Linked DNA regions of Sus scrofa. The protein of the gene in region 1 purifies or fractionates together with the protein of each later gene. This does not show direct contact. Links are inferred from orthologs where the notes say so. Each region holds a gene or a part of one and is shown in the gene's direction. Other genes may lie near its edges.

Region 1 (4,210 bases):
GACCCTGACGGACAGGCAGGGAAGGGCAGAGGCCACACAGCAAGTGTGACACAGTCAGTGGCAAAGAGTCCCTGCTGCTGAGCCTTCATCCTTCCCAGACAGCCTCCCCATTTGTTTTACTTTTTAAAAGATCCTAGATGGCATACACAGGTGTTTACTCACTCACTTTACACTTTTCTCTATTTAAAATATGTCAGAAATTATCAAAACGAGAACAAATGTTTTTGTCCTTTGGGTCTGGGTCTTTCCACCTGTGCCTCTGCCTCCTGATCATTTTTTTGGGAGGGGGCGCACCCATGGCATATGGAAGTTCCCAGGCTAGGAGTCAAATCAGAGCTGTAGCCACTGGCCTGTCACCACAGCCATGCCAGATGTGAGCCGCATCTGACCTACACCACAGCTCACGGCAACACCAGATCCTTAGCTCACTGAGCGAGGCCAGTGATGGAACCTGCGTCATGGATACCAGTCAGATTCGTTTCCGCTGAGCCACGACGGGAACTCCTCTGCCTCCTACTCTTGACTGACATAACGCTGGGGCCCTCCCTGTGGCCCCCAACTCTGCCAGCACCCGGTGTCTGTGAGACGCCAAGTCCTATAACACTGAACCAGGAAGAACTGGGGAGTGGTGGTGATGAGGACAATGGTGGGACGAGGAGGCAGGCCTGTAGTCAGTCCCCTGGTTTCCATCCCATTTGACGTTGCGCCTGTGAAATCTGGCTCCGTTCTCCAGCCCTCCAGGCCTCTCCCCCCAGGAGCGGGAACAGAGACCTTTCCAGGCAGGAGAAGAGAACATCCCCTGGCTGAGCAGAGACTCATTGTCAGAGGGTTTATGTAACCACTTGAATTGCAGAGCCAATTTAAAAATAATTCCTGTCCATCTGGAGTGGATTTAAGAGATGAAGGGAAAGTAAATGATATAAACCTATGGAATGTTTTAGAAAAATGCTTCCAGGAGAGAAAGGTACGGGGGTGGAGGGGCATTCATTAAGTCATCCCTGCAGTGAGGGGCTCCTGGGGTATCTGCTGCCTCAGGAAGAGCTCTGCAGTGACTCCGTGAATTTCTGAATCTTGGAGCGGGTCGGGACCTAGTAGTAGAAGTAGCAGGAGCAGCAGTTAATGCTTGTCAGGCCCTTACTGAGTGTCTTAACAACAACCCAATGAGGTGTAGGTAGTATCATCCCCATCTTACAGATGAAGAAACTAAGGCTTAGAGGCTGAGTAACTTGGCTGAGGCCCTGGTCAGTGGCAGGAGCTGCTGTTTAGGCTTAGCTGTGCCCTTTGCTCATCACCAGCCTCCCCAGCTTTAGGAACCCAGCATCACCCATCACTTTTGATGGGTTTAGGCTTGGGCTCTGGTCCCATTTGCCTGGTGATACCAGCAAAGAACCAGTCACCTGGAGCATTGGCTGTAGCTCTCTTCAGCTGGTGCCAGGGCCACTGTGTGAGGACCAAAGGCCTGGTCCAGACTGACCTGAGTTTCTCTAGGGCGAGGCGTGCGGCTGTACTACATTGGAGGGGAGGTCTTCGCAGAGTGCCTCAGTGACAGCGCCATCTTTGTCCAGTCACCCAACTGTAACCAGCGCTATGGCTGGCACCCAGCCACCGTCTGCAAGATCCCACCAGGTAACACCACCTACACACCTACCCCTTCCCTGAGGTCCTCTCCTCCAAGGCACATGCCTCGGATGCAGGGGAGGTTTCTTCTTACCATTTCTCCTCAGTGGTGTTTGCATGGCCAATCTGGAGGTGCTTCGCTTGATTTTTCTCTGTGGCTTGCTCTCTCACTCTGAGCTTCCTGAACCTCTGAGGAGCAGATGCAGCATCTGACAGATCTGCCTCTCACCTGTGGGTACCTGCTCATTGCCTGTGTGCAGAGATGCTCAGGTGGTGTGCTGGCTAGCTTCCCTCTTTCCTTCCGCCATTCCAGATGCGGAGCTGGAGGGGAGCAGGAAGCCCTGCTGCTATCCCCACAGACCTTACCCATCATCTCAGTGTACAAGGCAAAGATACAAGTGGGTTTAATACAAGGGAGGGTGCTAAGCACCAAGTAGGCAGCACAGGTAAGGTGCTCTTGGATCTAAGGGGGAAAACACATTGAATTATTAGGATGGATCAAGGAAGCTTCTTGGAGGAGAAGAGCTTGGGCTGGGAAGGATGGGTAAGTATTAGATGCACAGAGGGATGGGGTGGGGACCGTGAGGGCATTCAGGCAGAGGGAACATTATGGGCAAAGGCCCAGCGGTGATGGAGGGCAGGGCACGTGTGGGCAGCGCTCTGGCTGCAGCAGAGGCCCTGTAAGAGACAGTCAGGGATCATGTTTTGAAAGTTTGATGGAACCAAGCCATGGAAAGATGTGAGAAAGTTTTGTTTTTATTTGGGGGCCCTGTTGAGGGTTTTCTGAGTCGGGCTGTGAATCCCACTTGTACTCCAAGAGGAGTCAGGCTCACCCCAGACGGTGGCTTGAACAGGGCCAGGTCTGGGTAGAGGACCAGGCAGGAGGTGATCTTATCCAAATCCTTTTCACAGCAAAAGCGGAGGCAGAAAGCCCCCGCGAAACCCACTTTTCCCAGGGCGGGCAGCCGCAGAGCATGCAGTGTGCCTGACTGGGAGAGTGTGTAGCTTAGGTCGTTGCCTGTGGGGGTGTGTGTGTGTGTGTGTGATGTCTTCCTGCCTGCTAAGTAGCAGGTGATGCTGGAGAGCAGTGGGCCACTGGCAGGGTCAGCTTAAGAAGGAAGAGTCTGGGAGTTCTTGATATGGCTCAGGGGTTAAAGGCCTGACGTCTCTATGTGGATGTGGTTCAATCCCTAGCCTCAATCAGTGGGCTAAGGATCTGGGGTTGCTGTGAGCTGCAGTTTGGGTCACAGGTGCAGCTCAGATCTGGTGTGGCTGTGGCTGTGGCCTGTAGCTCCCATTTGACCCTGGCACAGAGGGAACTTCCATATGCCATAGGTGCCTTTAAGAAGACAAAAACAAAAAAAAAAGAAGAATGCAGAGTCTGAGTTGCCTAGCGATGCTGTTTCCGGGATGTCACATGGTTGTGTTTACAGAGCACATGTCTATCTCGGGTCTCACTTAGTTCCCTCCAGTAACCCTAGCTCTACAGGGGGAGGCATGTTGAAGAGACAAGTTCAGAGAGGTTAAGCCACCTTCTAAGGACACACAGCCAGTAAGTGGCTGAGCCAGGATGAGCCTATCGCTGTGTGCTTCTTGCTGCTTGCTTGGCAGGGGGCTGGAGCCCACCTTTGACCCTGCTTCACCCCGCTTCCCCTCAGAGAAAAACGAGAAGAGGAAGCCAGGCTGCGTTCTTGACTTTGTGCCCATCCCTTCACCCCGCCCTCCTTGTCTCTGGTGAGGGCAAAGCTGGCTGTGGTGGTGGTTGTTAGCTCATGGAATGTCAGAGCTGGGGGCCTTTGAGGCCAGTCTCTCCTTTACAAGGGAGACACAGGGCTTAGAAGAGAAAGTGACCAGCCCAGAGTCACACAGCAAGCCGAGGGGCCCAGGGTGGCCCATTAGCAAGTGTCACCTCAGCTCACCTTTTGGGCATTTCCAGCATGTGCTTTTTGTCTTTTATTTTTCCGGTTGACACATTCCTGGCACAGAGGCGGCAGGACTTCAAACAAAAGATTTATTATAAACTTCATGTGTGCCTGTCTCTAGTTTTCCTGCCTGGGGAGTTAGGCATACACCTTGGCTTTGCTGCGAATGTCACCTTGACCCAGTCTTGTGCCCACAAGGCCAAATGTGGCCCAGACCTCTTTTTCCCTCCCGGCCCCGGCAGAGGTGGCTTCCTCAGTGAGGCTGGGGTGGAGGGCAGCCAGGGACCCTCTGCAGAGCTTCCTGTGGGCACGGCCTGCCTCCGGCACTCCCGCCATGCAAGAGCAGGGGCTGCTGTTGCCCAGGCTGTCCGCCACACCCCACACCACCATGGACCTTCTGTTCTCTCTGTTCCCTGGAGTCTTGCCTTGGCCCCTTTGCCCAGGGCAGGGCCACCTCTCCCCGCCCATCTCCCTTGTTCCTGGGCCCACCTTGCTAACTTCCTCAGCATTCCCACTCTGGGGCTCGGAGCCTACAGGCCAGTGTTTAACTCCCCCCTCACCCATGTCAGCTGCGTCCGCTTCAGGGCGGTGATGGCTTCAAGGGCAGGGAGTGGGAACACTCGTCCAGGTGAATGGGGGGGGCACCTTCAGCCCGGGGAGGGAGGAGCTCC
Region 2 (4,167 bases), on another chromosome or scaffold:
ATAGACCCCTAGCCTGGGAACCTCTATACACCGCTGGTTCGGCCCTCAAAAGACAAAAAAAAAGAAACTTAAATCTGCTTATTTAAAAAAAAAAAATTTTGTCCCCTTAAAAATCCCCAAAACGGAGTTCCCTTTGTGGCTCAGTGGTTAACGAATCCAATTAGGAACCATAAGGTTTCAGGTTCGATCCCTGACCTCGCTCAGTGGGTTAAGGATCCGGTGTTGCTGTGAGCTGTGATGTAGGCCAGCAGCTACAGCTCCAATTAGACCCCTGCCCTGGAAACCTCCATATGCCCAGGGTGCAGCCCTAGAAAAGACACAACCACACACAAAATCACAAAAATAAGAAATGTACCAAAACAAAAAACATAATTTGAATTATTTGTAGTTACCCTACATTACAGGAAAAACCTGTATCAAAAGCAGGAAGTACAATGGAGTTTCACTCTAACAAAGCCTAGAGTGGATTTAAATGTTTTAGAAATTAGAAGGAAGCTTTCTGATTTGCACCTAAGTGTGATGTCATTTCCGTTATGGTTCCCCCCCACCCCCACTAATATGTGCTATTAGAACCCTAGAAAAGTCCCTCTTGGAAATCTCCATTGCCCACTAATGGATCACACATGGTACAAATTGATTTGGAAAAACATTTTGCAATTTAAGTTTCTCAAAATTTGCTCCATATAAGGAATATTTTTTTGTATGCCTTGAATTAGTTAGAGTCCTTATTTCTTCTGTCTATCCATTCCATCTTCCTCTTCCACTGAAGTCTCTGATATTTCACCATCTTCTGAAATCTATGGATTTTTTTTTTTTTTTCTTTTTAGGGCCGCACATGGAAGTTCCCAGGCTAGGGGTTGAATTGGAGCTTCAACTGCCGGCTTACACCACAGCCACAGAAAAATGCAAGAAAACGCCTTACATTTTACAAATTACTGCGAGAATGATTATCTCTTCAAACATTAGAATTGACTAAAGATTTGCCCTTTTTATTGGCTTCACCGGCAGCATCTGGAAGTTTCCAGGGCCAGGGTTTGAATCTGATCTGCAGCTGCAGCTTATGCCAGGGTTGCAGCAACACTGGGTCCTTAACCCACTGTATTACCATAGTAGTAGGAACAACTCTAAGAAGATTTTTTTTTTTTTTTTTTTTTTTTTTGCTTTTTAGGGCCGCACTGGAGGCATATGGAGGTTCCCAGGCTAGGGGTCAAATCAGAGCTTCAGCTGCTGGCCTACACCATAGCCACAGCAACTCGGAATCTGAGCTTCATCTGTGACCTACAGCGCAGCTCACAGCAGTGCCAGATCCTCAACCCAACTGAGGAAGGCCAGGGATTGAACCCACAACTTCATGGTTCCTAGTTGTATGCATTTCGGTTGCGCCACAACAGGAACTCCATCTAAGAAGACTTTTTTAAAAATAAGTTCAGGGAATTCCTGTCGTGGCTCTGTGGTTAACAAATCCGACTAGGAACCATGAGGTTGCAGGTTTGATCCCTGGCCTTGCTCAGTGGGTTAAGGATCCGGCGTTGCCATGAGCTGTGGTGTATGTTGCAGACTTAGCACAGATCACGTGTTGCTGTGGGTCTGGCATAGGCTGGTGGCTCCAGCTCTGATTAGACCCCTAGCCTGGGAACTTCCTATGCCATGGGAGCAGCCCAAGAAATGGCAAAAAAGAAAAATTAAAAAAAATTTAAAAAGTAAAAATAAGTTCAGGAGTTCTCTGGTGGTGCAGCGGGTTGGGGATCCAGTATTGCCACTGCTGTGGCGTGGGTTTGATCCCTGATCCAAGAACTTCCACATGCTATGGTTGTGACCAAAAATTTTAGAGTTCCTGTCTAATTAAATTTTTAATTTAAAAATTAAAAAAAAAAGGAGTTCCCGTCGTGGCGCAGTGGTTAACGAATCCGACTAGGAACCATGAGGTTGCGGGTTCGGTCCCTGCCCTTGCTCAGGGGGTTAACGATCTGGCGTTGCCGTGAGCTGTGGTGTAGGTCGCAGACTCGGCTCGGATCCTGCGTTGCTGTGGCTCTGGCATAAGCTGGCAACTACAGCTCTGATTAAACCCCTAGCCTGGGAACCTCCATATGCCGCGGGAGCGGCCCAAGAAATGGCAAAAAGACAAAAAAAAAAAAAAAAAAAAAAAAAAAAAATTAAAAACAAAAAAAAGATTTGCGTTAGTTTTGAGTAGACCTAGTAATTACTGTGGATACTTTGTGATTATTTTTTGTCTCTAGAATGAATGATGAGTAATTATGTTCTCACTTTCAGGGGCTCCGGGGATCCTGGCAAAAAGAAACAGCACATTTGCCACATGCAAGGTTGTGGCAAAGTATATGGCAAGACCTCACACCTACGGGCACACTTGCGCTGGCATACAGGCGAGAGACCATTCATGTGTACCTGGTCATACTGTGGGAAACGCTTCACACGTTCGGATGAGTTACAGAGGCATAAACGCACACACACAGGTGAGCAGGAATTTGGGAAAGGGAAAAGTAGTAATAGACAAGAGAAAAACACCAAATTTACCTATGAAATAACTAAAATTTCTGAGCAACTCATGTTTGAAACTGAATGTATGGATCACATAGGGTGTTGGAGTTAATTTGGAAAACCTTTAAGAAGGAAAGAGCTAGTTTTTGACTGGGGGTTTTAAAAGTACTGCCTTACTTTTCTGCATTATTCCTTCCTTTCTGAGTACTCCCCAACCATTACCTATTTGTTGTCCCCCCCGCCAAAGGCAGAAGATATTCACCAGATTTTCTTGTTTTCAATCACCAAGATTAGCCTTATTCTACATTGTATAGTTTGAAAGCAGTGAATAGAAGGTACCCCTACTTCCTGAGATGTCAGTTTCTTCATTCTCTTCTTTTACCTAGGTGAGAAGAAATTTGCCTGCCCTGAGTGTCCCAAGCGCTTCATGAGAAGTGACCACCTGTCAAAGCATATCAAGACCCACCAGAATAAGAAAGGAGGCCCAGGTGTAGCCCTAAGTGTGGGCACTTTGCCCCTGGACAGTGGGGCAGGTTCGGAAGGCAGCGGCACTGCCACCCCTTCAGCCCTTATTACTACCAACATGGTAGCCATGGAGGCCATCTGTCCAGAGGGTATTGCCCGTCTTGCCAACAGTGGCATCAACGTCATGCAGGTGGCGGATCTGCAGTCCATTAATATCAGTGGCAATGGCTTCTGAGATCAGGCACCCAGGGCTAGAGACATATGGGCCATACCCATCAACCCTGGGATGCAAGGTAGCTTGGGTCCAAGAGACATGTGGGAGAGCGAGCCATGAGGCATTAAAAATGCATGGTGGTGGGAAGAATTGGGGGAGGGCTACAAGAGAAGAGATGGGGTCCTGGCACCCACCTATATCATCAATACCTCCTTGAAGTGGGAAACATTAGTGAAAATTCTGTTGGTGCCACCCTTTGATGAGCATTTGTTTGACCCCAGACAGTTTCTTAACACTTCTTACCCCAGCCTCCCCGTCCTGCATTTCCCTTCTCAGCTCCCCCATGATGGATCCCCCCTTTCCTAAAGCCATCATGCCTTGATAAATATATATGATCATTGAAATACTTTTTAACAAAAAACAGATTCTATATTATATATATATATATATATATATAAAAGATATATAGAGATGCATTTGCAGGGGTTGGCTGGGAGGAGGAAGGAGACCATTCTGTGACCAAAATACCTTGGTCATTTTTTTTTTTTTTATATTGCCTTATTTCCTTATGGCTGAGCCTTGTTGTGACACATCAAGATTTTCTACAGATGTTGTCTTGGCTTCCCACCAGATTAAGCATTTATATGCTCTGCTTTTAGTTTATATATACATACATAATATTTTTTTCTTTTCTTAATTTTGTCTTTTAATTTGGGATCAGCTTCTTGCACTCCTTTCTTGACTCAACCCTTTCTGTCTCCCCTTCTCTCACCTGATCACTTCATGTTTTGTTTTTGGTAGTAGTCCCTGGATGAGGCACTTCTGTCATTCTTTTAAAGTCCTTAGTCCCAGCAGCAGAATGGAGAATCCTTGAAGCTCAGGCGGATGCTTGAGGTAGCTCTGAAGAGAGTGTTCAAAATACTACTGACGCAGGCACCCTCTTGGCGCTGGAGAGTCAAAGGCACCTCTCTCTTCATTAGCTGCTCTAAGCA
Region 3 (4,693 bases), on another chromosome or scaffold:
ATTGGTTATTATGTTCCAGGAATAGACACCATTGTCTTGCTTAATCTGCAGAAAAATTCTTTAACATAAGTATTACCTAATGACTAAACTATAAGTTAAATGCTTTGCAACTAGAGGTTGAAGTGAAGTTTTGAACATGAAGTCACTATTCTTCCCATACCATGCTGCCTCTCTTAGGAAAATACTACGCTCTCTTTCAGAGGTTGAGTGGGAAAGAAGGGAGGTGTGACCCTTTGATGATACTCATAGTTAAACAAATTATGTTTATTTTAACCTGTCAAAAGAAAAGTCAAATAGTACAAGCAATACAGTACCTGGAAGCTGTTTCAGAATTTCAAATCAAGGATAACACGAAAGTGCAAAATAGTATTATTTTAAAGGAAATAAGCAATCATAATGTTGCTATATGCAAATTATAATGCCAATATACATTACCGTAACTTGGAAGGGGTCAGCACTTCTTACTAGCATATTGCACCCATTTACTGCATTCCCACCAAATGAGTTATGGTAGAGGTCGAAAATAAGTAAAAAAAGAGAGATTATGTAGGAATTCTTATTCATCTTTAGCCTTTTCACATCACGTTATCTTAAAGTCAAATCTCTGGACATCTTCATGCTTGGAACTACTTAAGCAGTTTGCCACAATTCATTAATTAAACACATATTTAGGTAGTTCTTATGTGTTAGGCAGCATTGTGCTAGGCACCAGTTGTAAAAGGTTAAAAAAAAAAAAAAAAGCTAGCATAACCCAGTTTACCTTTTAGTTCAAGCTTTCATAAGGAGAAGTAATGGGTGTATTATAGTGAATAGACAGCCGACGGGTTGGGTATAAACTTGCCTGTCCACTTACGGCATGACCTTAGCATTTGATTTCTGAGACTCGATTTCCCCATTTATAAAGTAATTGGCGTCAAATAATAGGTATTATCTAGCTTCAGGTGTATACATTATGGGAAGATAAGAATATATGACTTCATAACATTGAGGAGAGTTTCTCGCCCATCTTTTCTCCCTTTAGTACCCGGCATTATTCGATATATATTTCACACCCTGTTCACTGAGGAACTGGAACATGTTTTTCATTGCAGCTTAGCTGCCAGGGTGTGCCTGGGGAGGCGTCACAAAGAGCCTATAAAAGGTCTCCACCTACAGCAATAGTAGAAGCGCAAGGAAGAGCCCAGAAAGAGCACTGCGGCTAAGCGTTCGGTTTCGGATTGTTCTCCATTTGGTCCAAAATTCATTGAGTTTAGGTTCTGCGACTCGCAACGAAAGACTCGAGTCACGGAGTTGCTGAAATCCTCTGCCATATTTTAGTCGTCCCCACGCCCCCCGCCTCGCCCCACCCTCAAGCGTGAGTGAATGCGCAAATAAGGGTTTTCAGGCGTCTGTGGGAAAGAGGGAGGGGAAGGCAGAAGTCGAGGATGGATCGGGCGGTAGCACCGCTCAAGCGAGAGAGGACCGAGGCCCTAGAGAGGAGACTTAAAACCAGGCGGTCCCCGGCCGGAGGAGGCCGAGGCGAGCTGCTGGACGGCGGGGGCCGATGGGGAGCAGCAGACCATGGCAATGCACTCACTCCGCCCGGAGCCAACTCTTGTCTGCAGGCGCACCCCCCCACCCTTACGTCTCTTTTGGTTTCGACCTGCTGACTGGGAGGGGCCGCGGGACGCCATTCCCACAATGCTCTGGAGCGTGCCGCCGCTGTCGCTGCCGCCTCCGCTACCGCTAGTGGAAGAAGATGGCGGAAGGCGGAGCGGCAGATCTGGACATCCAGCGGTCTGACATCGCGACGCTGCTCAAAACCTCCCTCCGGAAAGGAGACACCTGGTAAGGGAAAGCGACTGAGATGGCTGTGGTTGCCCGAGGGTGGTGGAGAACTGGGCGGGAACTGCGGGCTGGTGTCTTTCGCTGGTGACAGGTGCGGGCAGGTCCGGCGGCGGCCGCCTTCGGGCAGCAGGATTTTGGCCGCTCCGGAAAGATTGGGGCAAAGATCGGACCTGAAATGAGGGCCGGGGTTCGTGGCTCGTCGGGGCATGCTGGGAGCCTTGCGGGGAGCGGCGGCGGCGGCTCGTGCAGTTCTCTTCGTCCTTTTTCCTCTGGTAGTGCCGCTCCCACCTCAGGCCTTCCCAAAGGATAGGTTACAGTCGTTGGGTGCGAGTCTCTTAATGTTTGACAGGTCTTGGTCCCACGGTGGATCGCGATCTCACCCTCTTTACTTCTTTAGTCATTTCCTTTCCCGGCATTGTCGACATCCAAGTTCCCTGTTCTGATTCTCGTATTCTTCCGGGAGGCCGACTGCAGGATGTCTGCGGTTCGTACTGCACAGGTGGCATGTGTCAGGGCGCCACTTAAGAGAGAGGAACCTTAGTTTCTGGTTCCTTGTCAAAAGGAGGGAGAGGAGTCGGGAACCTTAGGCTTCTGAGTGATAGATACCACGTGGTCCTGTGCTTTAGTGGAGGCTGGATAGACTCCGGCAGCGTTTCTTTTAGAAGTGCAGCCTTTCCCTCCGGTTTGAAGGATAACATAGGCCTGCAAAATGTAGATAAGTCTACTTGAGGCTTAAGTCACTTGCTAACATTCAAACTTATGAAATACGAAATGCTACAGTTTGAAATACTGAACGAAGTATTTGGTGATTTTAATGTTTGTGGGCCATATCAAGTGATATCCAGAATAACTTCAGTTATGTGAATATGTAACACAAATGCTGTGTTTTATTAGGAAGGCTAATGTACTGCTTTATTACAATAAAAATTTTCACTTCCCATCTTCACCGTAACAGTGGCATATAATTTGCGGAGTGTTTTTTCGTTTACTCAATATTGCTTAGTGGAAGGAGCCTAAGATTTAGACCCGCGTTAGGTTACCTTTCCACCACTTAACTTGCAGTATGACTTTGAGGAAGGTTAATTTAAACCATTGCACCTTCGTATCTTCATCTATGAAGTGGACAAGAATAATTTCATTATAGGAGTTTACTTGACTTCAGTGAAATGTTCTAAAAGATTTTCTGTTTATGAGAAATTAAATCTTAGTTATCTTATCACTGTCATTTCTGATAAAATGCCAAGGTATTAGGATCATTTTCAAGTAAGCTAAATAGATGGCAGACATGGGACTTGAATTTTAATACTTTGATGTAAGTCTTGGTACTTTTATCCTACTTTGTTAGGCTGCATACTATGTTTATATGATCCCTGAGGGTGTAAATATATTTTTGTTGCATTACAGAAAAAAAAAAATCAGACTTAAAAATCATTGTTGTGCATATTGGAGTGTTCTTCCAATGTGTGCCTCCAGGCGTTTATTACTGTGGGGAAATTGGACTTTTCCTAGGACATTTATGTTTGCCTTGCCCTATGGATCCTTACAGATGAAATGAATGCTTGCTTCTTATTGTTTGTTAAAGGGCACTTTAGGGAGTTCCCTGGTGATCTAGTGATTAGGACTTGGCACTTGCACTGTTGCAGCCCAGGGTCCAATCCCTGATCTGGGAATCCCACTGAATGCTGAAAAAAAAAAAAAAAAGAACTTAAAAAATTTCAGATTCTTAATTTACTTTGCCTGTTACCACCTCATAAAAAGATAAATGTAGATTTCCACAAAATAGAAATCTAAAATTTAGAGATACTTATTTGGATATTACTTATGTTTATTGGGTTTAATGTTGTGTTGACATTAAATGTTGTATTAACATTGGTATACTGTGTAATAATTGGTGGTGTTGACACTGCAGGATGTTAGGAGTACTATGTGTATTATGAACATTAAACTTTAAAATTCAGCATTTTTGTTTTTTGCCAAAGTTACTGTAAATCATTTTAAAGATCTCTTTAAAAGAGCAAATACAAGAAGTCTATACATTTGAGTCATTTCAGTGCTTTCATTTGAAAGAAAAGGAAACTGAAAACCAGATATTTAGGTAACAGCAGAATGTGCAAATGTTGATCCTCACAATTAATTTCCCCTCTTATTTAAAGGAAAAAATGAATAAACAAGATGATACTGGGATGCTGCAGAAACTAGTTTGGTTTATATATGAGCCAGTTACTTGGAGGTGAAACCTGCCCAAAAAGGAATTATCAGAAGTTTGATTCAGAGTTTAAGAAGAGTAATTTGATAAGCACAAATTTGATAATGTATCCATGAGTACAGAACTGGTAAAGATGCTTAATAAATTAGTTGTAACTTGGGCTCATGTTTTTTGAACTCATTAAAACTTGTTAAAAACTTCTTTCTGTTTTTAATGTCTTTTTAAAAAATCATTGGATTAGTCATTTGGGGGTATTTGAACAAATCCTGTGTGCTACTCTTGAAACCAGCCATATGCAAATGGAACATTGTTTTAATATCTGTATATAACCATCTTGGAAAGACTGATTAGACTATTGAGGAAAAAATGGTAGGTTTACCACGAGTTTATTCTTGAAATTTTAATACTCATATTTGATGTTATAGTCAAATGTATTCAAATGAATGAATTTTCTTAATTAGGTTGTGAGCACTTCGCCGATAAGGGCTACCTCTTAGTACTCTAGAAATTAATGCTAACACCTGGTAAAGGATAATGATTTGATTCTGTGTGAATAACAGAATTTCTCTTTATCTGTAAATAGTGAATGATTTTTATCTGCAAACTGACTGTCTAAGATGAAAATAAGTTAACACATGTCTCCGATGAGGAGAAACAAAC
Region 4 (4,210 bases), on another chromosome or scaffold:
AACATTTGCCATAGGAGTTGCGGGGGGCCGGGGCGGGGGGCATGCTCATGGCATGCAGAAGTTCCTGGGCCAGGGATTGAACCCAAGCTGCCACAGTGACAATGACAAATTCTTAAGGAGTTCCATGGTGGCCTAGTGGTTAACATATGTATGCTCATGCAGTTTCATCTTCAGTTGATTTTAGACACCATAAGATAAGTGGATTCATACTTAATTCTTTCAGCCTTCCTTCCCTAACCCTTACCCCCAAGTTTTGCGGTTTTTTTTTTTTTTTTAAAGTAAACCAGTGTCCTTGGGAAAACCCACCTTCTTTCTACCTGTAGACAAAAAAGTTCACATCTCTTCTCAGATTCCTAAGAAGTAATTGAATTTTTCAAAAAGGGCAGCATTATTCAACTAAAGCAACCTTTAGTATTAGAAAAGTGGACATATATGAATAGTACCTGAATATTTTTCTAAAGAACTGTAATTCTCACTTAAATCTTAGTACATCTATGGCAAATGACTATATCTTCTAACGGCCTTTATCTTCACTCTTAGAAAAGAAAAAGCCTTAATTTCAAGACCAAAATGCCAATGCTTTTATTTCTTTTGGGTAGTAACATCTGCTGGAATGTTATGATTTTGCCATGAAAGCTTTCTCTCAAAGGCAGATGCTGTGGAAGAAATCGAAAGTGTTGACACAGTGTTAGTGTAATCCCTGGATTTAGAATGCATATATGAAGGAGGAGGGAAAGGAGAGAATGCATGTGAAGTAATGTATCAGAGTTTATATTAGGATTTCTGTCAAACCATAAACTATTGACTGAGCAGATTTAAAAGATCAGACATGAAAAAAAAAACACGATTATTTTTGACATGTTTAATACATGCTAAAACAGTACAAGATAGCTGAGAAACTCTGTATCCTGTACTCTTCTTCGTGCATGTGGCGTCACTGTGATGGTGATAACTGGGTTTTAAAAATTGGTCTTAAGCTACAAGTTCTGATCTTCAGCTTGTTTATCAAATAGCTGATATTCAGCTATTTGAATAGAGATAGTGGTTTTTTACTGCTTTCCAGAAGGTGGTCAGTTGAAGAGTGGAAACGTTTTTGGAAGTTTTCATCACACAGCTTTACTTTATGAGATGAGGCAGAAATAGTACCTCTCTTTTCCACACAAACTGGAAAGGAAACAAGACACTGGAGAATTAGCTTCCTTAGAGCAAGTTTTGTTGTAATTACATGGACTAATTGCCTATTTCCTTCTTTAGTGGGGACTGGATATGCACATTTTGCAGAGATATTGGGAAACCAGAAGTTGAATATGATTGTGATAATTTACAGCATAGCAAAAAGGGGAAAACTGTACAGGGGTTAAGCCCCGTGGACCAAAGGGTAAGTGTCAAACAACTTGATTTATTATACGGATTCTGTAGTTGTCTGGCTGTACATCTTTTTGTCCTTCTTCATGTAATATACATGTAACCTGATAAATTTCCTTTTTTTTTAATCTCTCTGATAGTATGTTCCTGACTTCTGAAATCTTTATCTCTAGCCCTCAGCTCCAGGCTTTTATATCAAGCATCCTCATACTTAAGATTTTGGTTGTGAAATGCTGCTTTTTGAAGGAGAGCATTAGAAATCAATAAAAACAAGCAAATAACATAAAAAAGCTGCATTCCTCCCCCCGTAGTCCCCATCATCACCATTTTCCTATTCCCCCCACCATTACCTTCTGAGATAGCCATCATAATTTTTCATCTGCATTGTTTTAATAATCTCTTTACTGAATTCCCTGATCTACTCTCTTGCCCCTTACAGCCCATTTTCTGTACTGTTCTTTTTTAAAAAATATGTCAGCAGCTCTCTCCCTTCCTTGCTTAAAAATCCTCTAATATAGCTTCCCATCATAGAATGAAATCTAAAATCCTCTGATTTCACTCATATTTTTGTTGATCTGGTCTAGTTTGATTTCCAAAGACAGAGTGTCTGTCACATAGTTTTGTGGCCATTACAGTTATGTTTGGCTTTGATCTGATGTATAAACTTGCAAAATTCATCCTCCACTGTCTTTGAGGAGAAGGTATGTATTTAGAGTATAGAAACATATGCTAAAAGAAATTTAAGCAGATAAAAACTATAAATGTAAAATTGCCTTTCAATTTTATTCTGATTGTATAAAAAAATTCTGGAATTGGATTGAGATTGAGAAGACAGTTTTTATTTAATTTTGAACCTAAGCAGAATCCTTTCAAGAAAGGGAATAGCCAACCCCCTCCCCCACCACCTGACCCCCCCCTCCCCGCCCAAAAAAAAGGGAGTTCCTGCTGTGGCACAGTGGGTTAAGAATCCCCACAGTAGCTGCTGCTTCGGCCTAGATTCAGTCCCAGGCCCAGGAGCTTCCATGTGCCATGGGTGTGGCCATAAAAGGGAGGGGGGGGCGCCAGAATATAGACTGTGTCTTGCCTGCCTCAGGGAATTACAATGAGTAGCAACAATGATAAATTTTTGTATAGAATGCTGTGTATATTGCATTTATGACTTCTTTCCATTTGTGTAGTTAGAAGTAGGTAAATTATCTGAGTTTATTTTATTTTTTTGTCTTTTCTAGGGCTGCACCCGCGGCATATGGAGATTCCCCAGCTAGGGGTCTAATCAGAGCTCTAGCCGCCAGCCACAGCCACAGCAATGTGGGATCACAGCCGCATCTGTGACCTATACCACAGCTCACAGCAACGCCAGATCCTTAACTCACTGAGCAAGGCCAGGGATCAAACCTGCAACCTTAGGGTTCCTAGTCAGATTCATTAATTGCTGAGCCATGACGGGAACTCCAATTTACCTACTTTTTAATCAAATAAGAACACAGCCACTCTGTCTTTGATAAAGTTCATTTAAAGTAGGACACTAAATGGGAAACAAGGTAGTTTTCTTTGGGTGTGTATATTTTGTTGGATAACTAGTATGTATCTAGGAGGCTTATTTTCAGTTTTGTTGTAATAATACTGAGAAAGTTCTCTTCTCCCTAAGATATTCGTGAGAATAACATTTCATAGATTTTCCTTTTTTTTCTTGGGCCAGAAATGTGAACGTCTTCTGCTTTACCTCTATTGCCATGAATTAAGTATTGAATTTCAGGAGCCAGTTCCTGCTTCGGTGAGTTATTTAGTTAGTACCTTCCTAGTGAAGATGTTTAGTATAATACTTAAGGGTATGGGCCATAGCCTTAGACTGATGTTAAAACTAAGGCTTCTTGAATAATTTCCTCAATCAAGGTGCTTATTAAGTTCTCTTTTCTAATACTGTTTCTTCCCTTTTTGGGTTATTTTGAGGATTCCACACATAACCTGTGTAAAATGTTTTAGCATAGTACCTGATAAAATTTCTGATTAATAAGACGTACTTATGATTTATTAGGGTAAGTGGCATATAAAATTCACTTGTTAAAATTGCAGTCTGTTTTTAAAGACTTTGTTGCAGTGATGAAAACTTAATGAATTTAATCACCATGTCCTCTTTTACTTTTGAGATGGACATAAGGGATTTTAGGTACAGGTATAATAGAAAAAATCTTGAACTGGGAATCAAAAGACTTAACTTCTTCTCCTAGTTCTGCCATTAACCAACCTTGTAACTTTGGGGAAATTATGTAATTTTCTGCCTGCAGCAAGTGGAAGTTCCTGAACCAGGGCAATGACAATGCCAGATCCTCAACCTGCTGCACTACAAGAGAACTCTCTGCCTCTACTTTTTTAAACTATATAGTGGGAATATTGGACTAAATTATTTCTAAGATTCCAGTTCTGTGATTCTAGGATCTGTACCTTGGGGAGAAAACAATCTCTATATAAGAATTCATTTGAATAAAGTGTAAAGTTGAATCTTTCACATTGGTTCTGCCTTCAAAAACCCTTTATTTTGTAAGCCAATACCCTTTATCTTAAAGGAGACTTTTGTAAGGAATAAAGGCTCCAAAACCCCATAGTGAAAGAGAATACCAGGGATGCTCAGTGCCTCATAAATGGGATGAGAAGATGCTACACATATTTTATTTGGTTGCCATCAGTTATTGAATTAAAGTATTGAATACCAGGCAGGTTATATAGAGTATTGAATAGTAATTTGTTTACTAGGTAAGCTCAGAAATGGATTTTTTTTTTTTTTTTTGCTTTTTGCTTTTTAGGGCCACACCCACAGCATATGGAGGTTTCCAGACTAGGGGTCAAA
Region 5 (4,210 bases), on another chromosome or scaffold:
GCTGTAGCCGCTGGCCTACACTACAGCTCATGGCAGTGCCAGATCCTTAACCCCCTGAGCAAGGCTAGGGATTGAACCTGGGTCCTCATGGATGCCAGTCAGATTCATTAACCACTGAGCCATGGCGGGTTTGAAATAGTAATACCAGCATTGTGGGAGGTCCTGCTGTGGTTACGAACCCAACTAGTATCCATGAGGATGTGCGTTTGATCCCTGGCCCCACTCCATGGGTTAAGGATCTGGTGTTACCATTAGCTGCAGCATAGTCGCAGACATGGCTCAGATCTGGAGTTGCTGTGGGTGTGGCATAGGCTGGCAGCTGTAGCTCCGATTTGACCCCTAGCCTGGGAACTTGCAAATGCCGCAAGTGCAGCCCTGAAAAGCAAAAAAAAAAAAAAATTGCAAGCATTGTATGACAGTTTGAATAACCAAAGGCAAGCAGACCAGGCCACTGAGATGTGTTATAGCCTCCTAGGAATGAAACTGTTTGATATTAAATATATGTAGCAAAGGGTAAATGTTACTTAAGAAGCTCACATATTCAAAGTGACTAAAAGGTCAGTAGGTAGCTAGAAATACATACTACTGGAATGCAAGGGAAGACTGGGCTAGTATAGAGATTTGGGAGTTGCCCTCTTAGTGTATGTGGGTGAGGGCTACAGGGAAGAGGTAGGGCTCCCTCACAGTCATCTGCACAGGACTTTGATCCTAGACAGGTGGAATCAGAATGTGTGTCTTTTTAAGTCTCTACAGGCTATCCGGAATTGATATCCACCCTCGTGAGAGTTAATACTTATAGTAAAGGGAGGAAACGAAGTCTGTGAGGGAGAAAAGGTAGAAGGGAATTGAGTCATTTAAGAAATACTGAGCATCAGCCTTGTGCAGGTCACTTTCTTAGCAGCTGGAGCTTCTGTGAGGAAGAAACCAGGCAGGGATGATCTTGTCTTGTAGGAGAGGAAGGCTAAATTATAGTTGTGTTTGATGCTGTGAAGAAAAAGTACGAGGTGCCTTGAGAATTATAGCAAATAGACATAACCTAATTGAGGGACTAAAACAGACCTGAAGAGATGAACAAGGAGACAAGGGACAGTGTATTTCACTGCATTTACAAGGGATTTCAGTAGGAGAGAGAGAGTGAAGTTAAGCCAATCTGTAGGGAACTGAGCCTCCATTTAGATTCCTCTGCCAGTGTCAGTCAGAGACCTAAATGACAGAAGGTTGTGAATCTTTGGAGCACAGCTTTTGGAGTCAGTGCCTTTTACAGAGCCTCAGGCAATAAGCATTCCATTGCCTTTTTTTGGATTGTTCTCACTTCATGAGATTATATAGCTCCTTCAGGTCTTTGCACAGATGTCACCTTCACACTGACCTAAGTATGCTCTTTACCCCTCAGTTCCCTTTTTTTTGTAGCACTTAACACCATTTGACGTACTATATTTAGCTTACTAATTTGTATGCGTGTTTCTTGTCTGTCTCCAATTAGACCATAAGCTCTATGAAGGTAGGAATTTTAGGCTATTTTCCTCACTGGTATAGCTCCAACTCTAAACAGGGCCTGTTATTAAATATTTTTGAAATGACAGGATGAAAGGAAATACGTAATAGTCATATTACCTACAAGGAGGACTGTGGAGGTAATGAAAGCTCTTTTCACATAGGGAAGAAACTACAGGTACTTGACAGAAGTTGTCACTAGTTGAAGTAAACTGAAAAGGGGAAACTGAGCAGCATTCTAGACACAAAAGGAAATAAAGGACTCAGATTGGGGGAACAAGCAATGACAATAAAGAGGGGCATCCTCTAAGACTAGAGAAGACACTTAGTAGGAATTGTGAGCTAGTAGACATCGCCTTAGATATTTTTTAATCATTTCAGGTGGAATGCAAGCTTTAGGACTTCATCTGACAGATCCAAGTCAACGTCTTGTTCAGAACTGTCTTTGGACTCTTAGGAATCTTTCAGATGCTGCAACTAAACAGGTAAATTCTCAGTAAAGTGGCACCATAGTGATAAAAGTCAAGCTGAATTTGTACTGAGCGTCTGTTTTCATCTCCATAGGAAGGGATGGAAGGTCTTCTTGGGACCCTTGTTCAGCTTCTGGGCTCGGATGATATAAATGTGGTTACCTGTGCAGCTGGAATTCTTTCTAATCTCACTTGCAATAATTATAAAAACAAGATGATGGTGTGCCAAGTGGGTGGTATAGAGGCTCTTGTGCGTACTGTCCTTCGTGCTGGTGACAGGGAGGACATCACTGAACCTGCCATCTGTGCTCTCCGTCATCTGACCAGCCGACACCAGGAAGCTGAGATGGCCCAGAATGCTGTTCGCCTTCACTACGGACTACCAGTTGTGGTTAAACTCCTACATCCACCATCCCATTGGCCTCTCATCAAGGTAAGTTGTCAATCAGAGTAGAAGGTTGCTGAATTGAAAATGAACTATCTCTAGCTGTTATTAGATGGCTGTCTAGGTGTCAGGGATTGATAAATAGGAGTTGTATTCTTTACTAAATAGGAAATAATAACTGGGATGGGGTAGGGGTTTGAAGCGTTTGTGTAGTCAGCTCTGCTTTCAAGTGATAGCAATAGATTTAGTGTGGCAGGGATTTTAAGATAAGAAAATGATTTTGCTGAGTTGTATGACAGTTTGTCACTCGTCCTTCTTGTCTACAGGCTACCGTTGGATTGATTCGAAATCTTGCCCTTTGTCCAGCAAATCATGCACCTTTGCGAGAGCAGGGTGCCATTCCACGACTAGTTCAGTTGCTGGTTCGTGCTCATCAGGATACCCAGCGCCGTACGTCCATGGGTGGAACACAGCAACAGTTTGTGGTAGGTAAATCTTAATAGTGACATCCACTTATTTAAAAGGAATGCATAAATCCATAGAATCCTAAACTATTTGGTTATTGGCTCCCCTCCATCCATCTTCCTGCCTGCTGAAGGGCTGCTTGCTAATGGTTAAAAAACAAAAAACAAAAACCCAACATGTCACTGTGGTTGCAGAAAAGATCCTTATTTGGAGTAATGTGTCCCCTAGTGATATTTCCCTTGACATGGCCTTAATATCATTGCCTCATCAGTCTTACAAAGGGAGTGTGGAGAGTGTAACTTCTTGTTGTGGGGTCTCAATTAATCCACACACAGGTTCAACTCCTCAGAAAATAGCAGAGCCATAATTTGAATCCAAGTCTGATTTCAGAGCTACATTTCTATCTATAAATATTTAACACACCTTTTACTATCTCTTCTAAGAGTGATTTAAACTATTTTCATGGACTTAAGAATACCAACAAATTACAAGAATAAGTAGTAGCATTTCTGAAATCTTCTTAGCCTTAAGGCGTTGAGGTCAAGTTTGCAGTCTTGAAACTAGCTCTTCATTACAAGTATCTAAAGATACTTCTGATTCCTCAGAATGTATTTTAAAATGACCCAGACCTTCAAAGAGTCTCATTTAATCAGGTTACTTTAGAGAACAAGACCTAACCAGAACAGGTCTTAAGACTTATTGGTGGTTGTGATATGTATGCATTTGTTAGGGGGCTTTGGCTTTCTCCATTTATGACTTGGTATTGGCCCATCTCCATGAGGTGACTTAATAGGATGCAAAGGGTACTTTTTATCTATCCATTAATTCAAAGGATACCTTTCAAAATCTCTTTTGAAGAAAGGAATTTTAGTGTCTTCATAAAAATCAAGTTGAGGGAGTTTCCACTGTAGCACAGTAGGTTAAGGATCCAGTGTTGCCACAGCTGTGGCGTAGGTCACAGATATGGCTCAGATTCAGTCTCTGGCCCAGGAACTTTCATATGTTGAGGGTTCAGCCGAGGGGGAAAAAAAAAAGGTTGAATATAAAAACTTCTAAAATTAGCAGAATTTTAACCTTATTTAAAACTCAGAAACAGGGAAAGCAGAATAGTCTCAGAAGGAGGTGAGTGGGTTTTCTACTGGCAGCTCAACAGAATTTTAGCAGTTGGTAATAAAACTTTTAGATGTACAAAGATAGAGGGAGTATCTGAAAGAAAACACTGATACAGCACATTTCTTTACCATCTTTGTGTATCTTTTTAAAAATTTTATTGGAGTGTAGTTGGCTTACAAAGTTGTGTTAGCTTTAGGTGTACAGAAAAGTAAATCAGTTATGTGTATACATATCCATTCCTTTTCTGATTCTTTTGCCTTATAGGTTATTACAAAATATTGAG
Region 6 (4,210 bases), about 90 Mb from region 1:
CCCATGCAGACCATCCAAGAGAACAAGCCAGCCACCTTCTCTTCCATGTCGCACTACGGCAACCAGACACTCCAGGACCTGCTCACGTCGGACTCACTCAGCCACAGCGATGTCATGATGACCCAGTCGGACCCCTTGATGTCTCAGGCCAGCACCGCTGTGTCCGCCCAGAACTCCCGCCGGAACGTGATGCTTCGCAGTGACCCAATGATGTCCTTTGCCGCCCAGCCTAACCAGGGGAGTTTGGTCAATCAGAACTTGCTCCACCACCAGCACCAAACCCAGGGCGCTCTCGGTGGCAGCCGTGCCTTGTCGAATTCCGTCAGCAGCATGGGCTTGAGCGACTCAAGCAGCCTCGGGTCAGCCAAACACCAGCAGCAGTCTCCTGTCAGCCAGTCTATGCAAACCCTCTCGGACTCCCTCTCAGGCTCCTCCTTGTACTCAACGAGTGCGAACCTTCCCGTCATGGGCCACGAGAAGTTCCCCAGCGACTTGGACCTGGACATGTTCAACGGGAGCTTGGAATGTGACATGGAGTCCATTATCCGTAGCGAACTCATGGATGCTGACGGGTTGGATTTTAACTTTGATTCCCTCATCTCCACACAGAACGTTGTTGGTTTGAACGTGGGGAGCTTCACTGGTGCTAAGCAGGCCTCATCTCAGAGCTGGGTGCCAGGCTGAAGGCTCACTGAGGAAAGGGGAAGTGGGCAGAGCAGGTCAGTGCCCAGTGCTGTGGCGTAGTGGTAACGGGGTGGGGGTAGGGAACCGCCTTTTGTATACCTGGTGCATGGTAACCTGCTCCCACCCGGTTCTTTCTGAGTTGTACCTGCAAAACAAATAGGGCCGTCAGGGTCCCCTCCCCACAGTTTGCTGACAGCTCAGGACTTTTACCAGAGGCTTTCGTTTTTCTTTGCGTCCAGTCACCCTCACTGACCTATGACACAGGTCCCCCTATTGGATGGATGGATGAGGAGACAAGGGAAAGGAGGAAGGGGACCTTAGGCCACACAAATGTCAAGGTTAAGGACCCAGCAGTGGACTTTCTTAGAGTCTCAGGTCCAGCTCTGCCATTGTCGATCTTCCATGCTGTGGGTTTTATATCTTTCTTTTTCAGTAAAGTAACAGTTTTTGGGTACTTCTAATATAACTGTAGACTGTGTATTCTGGACTCTTTCATACAGGAGTATGTCTACCAGGAGCCAGACCTGTTAGATTCTTCACCACTAGTACTAAGCATCTTTACTAGTTAGCACTTAGCATCTAAGTATTTAAAAGAGCAAAAGAATTCAATTGAAAACAGAAGTGTTTATGTGAGAGAGCACTTTTTCACATGCTTCGTTTTCCCCGAAGTATAAAAGATGTCAGATTCCAAACAGTGACATGGGTTGTGAATGGAGACAGATTTTTTTAAATTGTGGCATTTTAATTCTGTTGGAACCAGAAAGATCATGCAACATGATATGGAAAGAAAAGCATTTGCTTGGAATCAGAAGTTGAGGATTCGGTTCCACTTCTCTTGCTTTCTGGCTGCTATCGGAAGTGTGTCACTTAGCCTCTGAGCCTCAGTTGCCAGCTTTATACCATGAGGATAATAACCCCTGTTGCTTAATGGGGTTATTGCAAGCGTCAGATGCACTGGGAGTTCCCTGGTGGTCTAGTGGTTAGGACTCAGTGCTTTCACCACTGTGGCCCACATTCAGTCCTTGGTCTGGGAACTGAGATCCCACATCAAGCTGCGGCACACTGCAGCCGCAGCTCCCCTCCCCCCAAAAAAGGCCCTAAAATGGAATCCTTAAACACTGAAATGTGCAAAAGTGCTTTTAAAACCACAATGGTTTGAAATATGTATGGTGTAATTAGGTAAACATACTGACAGACAGATGAGTAAACAGGGAGCCCAGGAAGGTTAAGTAGTTTGCCCAGGGTCACACAGCTAGACCCAGAATCCCAATTTCTGAAATGGCTTGAACCGTAGTTGTTCTTTCTAATTATCTCTAGATGGTGAAAATGGGAAATGCTCTGAACTGGAGCCAGAGGAGCAGATAATATACAAGCTTGCCCTCAAACAACTCTCCCTTTCAAGTAGCAAAATGAGCATCAGGTCTTTTGCTCACAGGCTTGCACAACTCTACTTCCCATGTTTGGGGGCTCTGTTCTATGCCCCGGGTCCTCTTTTTTCTTTTTTCTTTTTTTTTTTTTTTCTCTTAAATGTCAGCAAGCTACTCTTCTTTAAGTGGTGGGAAAGAGAAGTGGGATTCAAAGCCATAAAAAGCTGAGCCTTGTTTAACCCTCTGCCCTGGTGAAGGAATTACCAGGGTCCCTGCGGTGCGCCATCCAGCTCACACATAGTTGTAGAAAAGGGAATGTCGAGTGTTGTGATGCTCAGCTTCTCTGCTTTCCCAGGCAGAAGCAGGCCCCTAATGGTTCTCAGACATCTGTTTCCAGTCATTTAATAGCCCTTGAGATGGTAAAAAGACTGCAACAGAAGCCAAATAGGGTGACACACTTTCATGCTGCCAAAACTCGGAATGGGGGAGATTTGCCTTGAGAAATTCAGATATTTGGCTTTCAGAAGAATAGTTTGTCTTCCTTTAAGAAGAGAAATGTGATTGTGGCTTCTAAAGACCCAAGGAGGTTTTAATTTTGGTTTCGTTGTAAGGCATCCACATTCTAGCTCACTGAAAAGACTGAGAGAAGAAAATGTGCTGTCGGTTTTTGTCTGACTTTTCAAGTGTAGGTTTTCCTCTTAGCTGAAGAGCAGACCTTTCGTGTGTGTGTGTGTGTAATTCTAAAAGATTGTATAAAAACATTTTAAGGGAGATTTAAATACTTAACTTTTAAAAATGTATTTAATGAATCATTACTATTTTGATAATAAACTGCTTTTGAGACTACACATATTTTTAAGATTACTACCTACTTTTAAGATTACCCATTTTGTGATTATACCCTATTGGAAACAGGGACGTTTAGTCACCTCAAAACATTTTGAGGGAAGTTTTTTTGAGAAAATATTTCTGAAGTTAAAAAAAATATATATATGGGAAGTCACCAAATTTTCCTGAAACTAAACCAGCTCAGTATGACCAGAGCAAGAGAGGAAACATCCTGAAGAAAGCCAAGGCCTCTGAGGGAGGCTTGGTTTCTGAGTGTACAATTTCCATTTTGCTTTGGAATGAACTGCTCCTCTCAGCTGGGAGCATATGTGGCCTAATATAGATTCTTTACTTTGACACTGAATTCATGCCATCACTTTATGGAAGTTTCTCCTAAATTCACAAGGCAAGCCTTAGGTCATAGTCTCAAAACTCATTTCTCCCAAATTTAGCAGCCCAGCTTCCCAAGCCTTCTTCTGTCATGGCTTTCTTTGATTTGACTTTTTTTTTTTTTTGAAGAGCTGCACCCAAAGCATTTGGAAGTTCCCAGCTAGGGGTCGAGTCACAGCTACAGCTGCTGACCTACACCACAGCCACAGCAACACAGGATCCTTAACCAACGGAGCAAGGCCTGAGCTCAAACCTGCATCCTCATGGATACTAGCTGGATTTGTTTCTGCTGAGCCACAATGGGAAACTCTGACTTTTTTTTTTTTGTCTTCTCTATGGAGGTTCCCAGGCTAGGGGTCTAATTGGAGTTATAGCCACCAGCCTACACCAGAGCCACAGCAACATGGGATCCAAGCCATGTCTGTGACCTATACCACAGCTCACAGCAATGCCAGATCCTTAACCCACAGAGCAAGGCCAGGGGTCAAACCCACAACCTCAGGGTTCCTAGATTCGTTAACCACTGAGCCACAACAGGAACTCCTGACTTTTTTTTTTTTTTGATTGAAGCCAATAGTTGTTGTATTCTCCAGCCCCACTTCCTGACTTGCTAACTAAAGTCACAGGACCCTGAGTGGGAGCCGTCAAGTTGTGGAATTAATGGAGCCGTTCTGTCCAATTGACAGACAGTCTTGCCGGAGAGCCGTGGTGAGATGCTTCTCTGGAGAGCTGGGTGTTTCACACACGCCATTCATTTTAGACCACGTGTGAAATCCTTTGACCTACAGGTCTATCTAGAAAAGGAAAAAAATCACTGTACTTTCTTATGCGCACCAGCTACTGGGTGTGAAGGGCACTTTCTTCTCTCAGGCGCTCATGAAGCTTGATGCACATACTTGAAGATTGGTAGCAGGCATGTCTGTGAGCCAGTGTGGTGGTTG
Region 7 (4,776 bases), on another chromosome or scaffold:
ATAGATCCTGCTATACACCTTATTTATAAAAGAGAATAAATGAATAACTTTTCTCTCTTTTGCAGAAATAACTGCATATTAAATGAAAGCTTTTGCTTTTCAATGTAAAAGATGTTTCGGAACACAATAAAGCATGATAAATCTATATTTAAAATAAAACACTAAAATGTATTTCTACTTTTTTATCATCAAAAGTTTATTATGAAAAAGTTCTAGACATTTAAATGATAAAAGATGAAAGTCATTCCCACAAGTTCCTAGCATATTTTGGGCAAATTATTTTTTTGTAAAGAGACTCATAAACATGTTAGTACATTTATCTTTACCGACTGTAAACCAAAAGCAGATAACGAACAGTACTAAGATGACCACACAAAGGGGTATTTTGGCTCTCGCATCTCTCTTAGCATTCTCCAGCACTTACCCCGTTAAACACCCCAAATAATGTCTTGTAGTTCATGTCTCCGCCCACCCTCCCAGTCATTTACTTCGTGCCACTCCTGGTTACTATCACACTAGGAAGAAGTCTAACATGCAAATTCAGAGTGGCGTGGATAAATGGCAAAAAAATGCCTAGAAAATTGGTCTGTTCGGCTTCATAATTTTTGTTGAAAAAATACCCTATTGCTCTCAACTGATGAAAACAGGAAGCTCTATTCATAAATATGAAATTCTCTGCCTATGATATATAATCATCCTAATAAGAAAATGAGTTCTATACATACATGTCCAAAGGGGCAAAAAAGGAGATAGTTTCCCAAAGATGTTTCCAATTTTCTTCTGAATCAGAATTAGCAAATCGAGACGACTAACATACTCTGTCTGTGTGCATTATTCCTTACTACACACAGCATTTTGTAATTTATTTCAAACCCTATATTATAAACAAAAAATACAATTTTCTGTTAACCCACTCTACTCTGAGCTTGGAAAAATCAATCACATTGAACAATCTACATTACAACATAAGAATTTTATTTTATGTTTGTATCAGATTTCCTATCAAAGGATAAAGTTAATATCCAAATAAACTATTCAAAGGATTATACAAGATGAAAAATAAAATTACAAGCATAAAGAAAACTAAGATTCATCCAATAACTGACAGTTCTTGCCCTTCACTTTTATAAGATCCTCAAACTAGCCATGAGAAAAAGGTAAACATGATATAAAAGATACTAATTACATTTAATCTTTTTGTAGAAGCCGGCATCTAATATTGATCATACATCAACTAGACAGACATGATTTAATATTTGTAAAGGAATCCCCAGACTAACACTTTCATGACAGCCAATTACAGTCAAGCCCAGCAAGCAGTTTGCAACCAGACCTTTAGAAAGGTAAACTTTTTTACAATGAGTTACAGATTCACAAGTTTAAGAAGACAAGAAAAAGGAAAACAGAAGGACTCCAAACACCCAGCAAATATGAAGCAGACCCCAGAATGTGATACAATCCAAAGATGTAAATTATTGTAAATCATCACTGTTGTTCAGAATTTCACACACAGCCTCTTGAGCCAATTTTGCTCATTTTTCCGCAGACACAATAATGAACTAAATAAAAGGAGGAGGCACAAAACAGTGGGAGTGGGGGGACAGAAAGGAAAGCCCACAACTGCAGAGCTCTGCTCTACAAATGCTTAACCTTCCAGGAGTTAGGGCTCCTTCAGCATTTGTATTCTATCCAAATCCTCATGAGTCACAAAAATTAAAAAGCTATATCCTTCTGGATGCCAGGAAGGGCCTTACCACAAGCCTTTTGTCAGAGAGAGAGAGAGGGAGAGAGAGAGAGGAAGAGAGAGAGAGAGCAAGAGCTGGGGGGAAAGCCACAGTGGTAGGCAGTCCCACTTGACTGTGAGTACTGTGAGGTCACAAACCACATGATTCTGTCTCTCCAGTAATAGTGCTTGCAAAAAAAGGAGTTTTAAAGCTTTTGCTTTTTTGGATTGTGTGAATGCTTCATTCGCCTCACAAACAACCACAGAACCACAAGTGCGGTGCAAACTTTCTCCAGGAGGACAGCAAGAAGTCTCTGGTTTTTAAATGGTTAATCTCCGCAGGTCACTACCAGCCACCGAGACCAACAGAGGCAGTGAGTGCTCTCTAACCACAGTCTGTGCAGTAATAGTAGGTCCTTCAAATATTTGCTCATTCTCTTTTTGTTTTGTTTCCTTGCTTTTCACATGTTACCAGCTACATAATTTCTTGACAGAAAAAAATAAATATCAAGTCTATGTACTGCAGGCATACTGTAAAACTAAAACAAGGTTTGGGTATGGTTTGTGTTTTCAGTTTAAGGCTGCAAGCAGAATTTACAACAGAGGGTACAAGTTCTATCTGAAAAAAAAAGGAGGGACTATGGCATCAAACAGCCTCTTCAGCACAGTGACACCATGTCAGCAAAACTTCTTTTGGGGTAAGTGTTATCATATTTTAAAATCCTCTAAGAGATGAACCTGTTAAACATAAAGGTATGTTTCTTGCATAAACTGCTAGCTTTTCCGGATACCATTCTATTAAAGATCATAATAATGCTATTTTGTTGCACTAGAAGTTGAAAAATGAAATTACTGTACAATTTGCATTTGCCATCTGTAACTTATCTACTTCTCGGACTAATGACTTGAAACAGAAAAGATTATCTCACATTAGTCTAAATGTTTTCTAGAGTTATAGAAATGAGGTAGTTGAAACAGTAAAGTTTAATATTCTCATTAACCCTCACTGAAATAAAAGTAGACATTAAATTAATCAAAGTATTGTGAAATAGTCACTCCGGCAGCTCCCAGTATTTGAGCAAACTTTAAAAAGGAAGCAATTTTACAAAATAACAGACCAAAGAATTATCCTGACATTATACTCTACCATGTAAAACAGAGAAATAAACCTGTAGTATAACTAACGTTTTAACCAGCTCAACTAAAAGAAATTTACAATTTTAAACTGCATCATAAGATACCTGCTTTGTTTCCTAAGCTGTTTGTTTCTACACAGCTTTACATAGTTGAGGCATATATTCAACTGAAATAAAATTATAAGTATATAACAGCCATTTTTTAGATTTTTAGAGTTGCCCAGGATATCCAGGATAATGAAAAGCTCATAGAAGTCTTTAAAAAACTTAACTTAACGTGCAATTATAATTTTCATTTACATCCACACACTATTCTCCATTGGTAGAACTTGTTATAAACACATAGCAAACATTGAAACGTCTAGGATTCTTTTAATCATATTCTAGAACTACCAAAATGAGTATCGTTTCATCTCATAAAAAATAATACTCTGAAAGGATACCCTGCATGATTTAAAAGAGCCATACCAATTAAGTCATGCTGGACTTTAAAAGAAAACAGGCAAAATATAGTTCCTTAATATTTCAATTTCAAGTCAGTGTTGCTTCACAAAAGTAAACTACTTCAGCATTCATGAGCCAACATGGTATTATACAGTAAAATATCTAAACACTTACAAGATTTTCTTTATGATGTCCAACATGTTCCAACTACAAGGCAAGTTTATAAAATTTTCTTTTATCCTTTGAAATAAACCCTTTGGCTGTGTATATCTGTATTAACTTTTGCTTTATAACTTACAACTAACGATTGGAGTTTCCTTTACTCCTCCTACTTCACACATTTTAACTGGCTACCAGAGGATCAGTCTTAGTTTTGGTCAAAGAGAAATAATTAAACCTGACGGAGAAAAAAGGATTTCTCTTAAAAGGGTGAGGAAATGTACTTTGTATTTTACCAAAAAATGTAAAATTGCTGCAGTAACTCCCTCGGTGGCTCTAAGTGGGCCCCTCAGTTATAACACATACAATATAATAATCACAGATTACTTCTCCGATTTAATGAAAGATAATGAGCATTTCTGTAAAAATCTCTGCATTAAGGAAACAGAACATACATACAACTAGACTGCATGAACAACTCCTATTATAATTACAGCTTATACACAGAAACTTTTGCTGTTCCTACCCAAGAGATGAGGGAAAAAATGGTTAAAACTATTGTTATATGGAGGGGTAACTTGAAGCAGGCATCTATCTCAAGCAGTTAAGTTACTCTTCACAATATTCCTCTGTTTAAAAACAAAAAAATTTTCAAACCAGACTGGGAACAACACAAATTTCAAGGACTACTTCAGCATTAGACATACAAGTTATTAACATAATCACAAAGAATATTTTTAAATGTTCTTTATGCTATCATATGAGGGAGTCTTATATTTCTATAACAATCCTTAACAACTATTTCTATAGTAAAATTTTCGAAATTTGACCAAGTGTCGAACAAGGCATGATCTATCACGTGTCATATACATTTAGACATTATAACTAATTCTTTCTCTTCTGAAAAGTGGAATTTCCCTCTCCCACTCCCAAATAGTACTTGAGAGCCTGGACAGAGAACGTAAGATGAACCCATCACAGCGGACTAATTACAGGTGGGTGGGGGACACTGTGTATAGGTTATCATCACACTGCAAACATTTCTCCATTCTGTCATCTTTCTGAAGTCTCAAACCTCACTTCAGGCTTTAAATTCTTACGTAATGATTATCAGAACAACCTAATGAAATGTCAAAAAGTAGGTGCTCTGATTTTTGTAAAATAGTTTTTAAAATTAGGCTCTTCCTAGGCGAGGGACAAAGCACATGCTGACCAACTGTCTCACCTCAAAATAATGAGTGAAAATAATGTGTATGCAAGAGAGAGACAGAGACAGTGAGAGACAAAAAAGTGTTTCAGTGTCCTTGCTCTCTC

Evidence for each region.
Region 2: the proteins of SMAD3 (region 1) and SP1 purify together in Homo sapiens (affinity purification with western blotting; 7 studies listed by BioGRID, with this or other methods). This does not show direct contact. The link is inferred for Sus scrofa from reciprocal best matches to the Homo sapiens genes SMAD3 and SP1.
Region 3: the proteins of SMAD3 (region 1) and USP15 purify together in Homo sapiens (affinity purification with western blotting; 4 studies listed by BioGRID). This does not show direct contact. The link is inferred for Sus scrofa from reciprocal best matches to the Homo sapiens genes SMAD3 and USP15.
Region 4: the proteins of SMAD3 (region 1) and TRIM33 purify together in Homo sapiens (affinity purification with western blotting; 7 studies listed by BioGRID and IntAct, with this or other methods). This does not show direct contact. The link is inferred for Sus scrofa from reciprocal best matches to the Homo sapiens genes SMAD3 and TRIM33.
Region 5: the proteins of SMAD3 (region 1) and CTNNB1 purify together in Homo sapiens (affinity purification with western blotting; 6 studies listed by BioGRID, with this or other methods). This does not show direct contact. The link is inferred for Sus scrofa from reciprocal best matches to the Homo sapiens genes SMAD3 and CTNNB1.
Region 6: the proteins of SMAD3 (region 1) and FOXO3 purify together in Homo sapiens (affinity purification with western blotting; 3 studies listed by BioGRID and IntAct, with this or other methods). This does not show direct contact. The link is inferred for Sus scrofa from reciprocal best matches to the Homo sapiens genes SMAD3 and FOXO3.
Region 7: the proteins of SMAD3 (region 1) and RUNX2 purify together in Homo sapiens (affinity purification with western blotting; 3 studies listed by BioGRID). This does not show direct contact. The link is inferred for Sus scrofa from reciprocal best matches to the Homo sapiens genes SMAD3 and RUNX2.

Annotation. Positions count from the first base shown.
Region 1 is NC_010443.5:165,113,027-165,117,236, forward strand, and holds part of SMAD3 (mothers against decapentaplegic homolog 3), read left to right. Parts: intron 1-1,488; coding exon 1,489-1,626; intron 1,627-4,210. UniProt on the Homo sapiens protein: Receptor-regulated SMAD (R-SMAD) that is an intracellular signal transducer and transcriptional modulator activated by TGF-beta (transforming growth factor) and activin type 1 receptor kinases.
Region 2 is NC_010447.5:18,626,521-18,630,687, forward strand, and holds part of SP1 (transcription factor Sp1), read left to right. Parts: intron 1-2,271; coding exon 2,272-2,471; intron 2,472-2,882; coding exon 2,883-3,196; 3' UTR 3,197-4,167. UniProt on the Homo sapiens protein: Transcription factor that can activate or repress transcription in response to physiological and pathological stimuli.
Region 3 is NC_010447.5:26,963,101-26,967,793, forward strand, and holds the start of USP15 (ubiquitin carboxyl-terminal hydrolase 15), read left to right. Parts: upstream 1-1,413; 5' UTR 1,414-1,738; coding exon 1,739-1,827; intron 1,828-4,693. UniProt on the Homo sapiens protein: Hydrolase that removes conjugated ubiquitin from target proteins and regulates various pathways such as the TGF-beta receptor signaling, NF-kappa-B and RNF41/NRDP1-PRKN pathways.
Region 4 is NC_010446.5:106,183,164-106,187,373, forward strand, and holds part of TRIM33 (E3 ubiquitin-protein ligase TRIM33), read left to right. Parts: intron 1-1,254; coding exon 1,255-1,378; intron 1,379-3,064; coding exon 3,065-3,139; intron 3,140-4,210. UniProt on the Homo sapiens protein: Acts as an E3 ubiquitin-protein ligase. Promotes SMAD4 ubiquitination, nuclear exclusion and degradation via the ubiquitin proteasome pathway. According to PubMed:16751102, does not promote a decrease in the level of endogenous SMAD4.
Region 5 is NC_010455.5:25,198,336-25,202,545, forward strand, and holds part of CTNNB1 (catenin beta-1), read left to right. Parts: intron 1-1,875; coding exon 1,876-1,979; intron 1,980-2,058; coding exon 2,059-2,397; intron 2,398-2,675; coding exon 2,676-2,834; intron 2,835-4,210. UniProt on the Homo sapiens protein: Key downstream component of the canonical Wnt signaling pathway.
Region 6 is NC_010443.5:74,737,754-74,741,963, forward strand, and holds part of FOXO3 (forkhead box protein O3), read left to right. Parts: coding exon 1-684; 3' UTR 685-719; intron 720-4,210. UniProt on the Homo sapiens protein: Transcriptional activator that recognizes and binds to the DNA sequence 5'-[AG]TAAA[TC]A-3' and regulates different processes, such as apoptosis and autophagy.
Region 7 is NC_010449.5:40,104,727-40,109,502, forward strand, and holds the start of RUNX2 (runt-related transcription factor 2), read left to right. Parts: upstream 1-1,854; 5' UTR 1,855-1,959; coding exon 1,960-2,097; intron 2,098-2,297; coding exon 2,298-2,421; intron 2,422-4,776. UniProt on the Homo sapiens protein: Transcription factor involved in osteoblastic differentiation and skeletal morphogenesis. Essential for the maturation of osteoblasts and both intramembranous and endochondral ossification.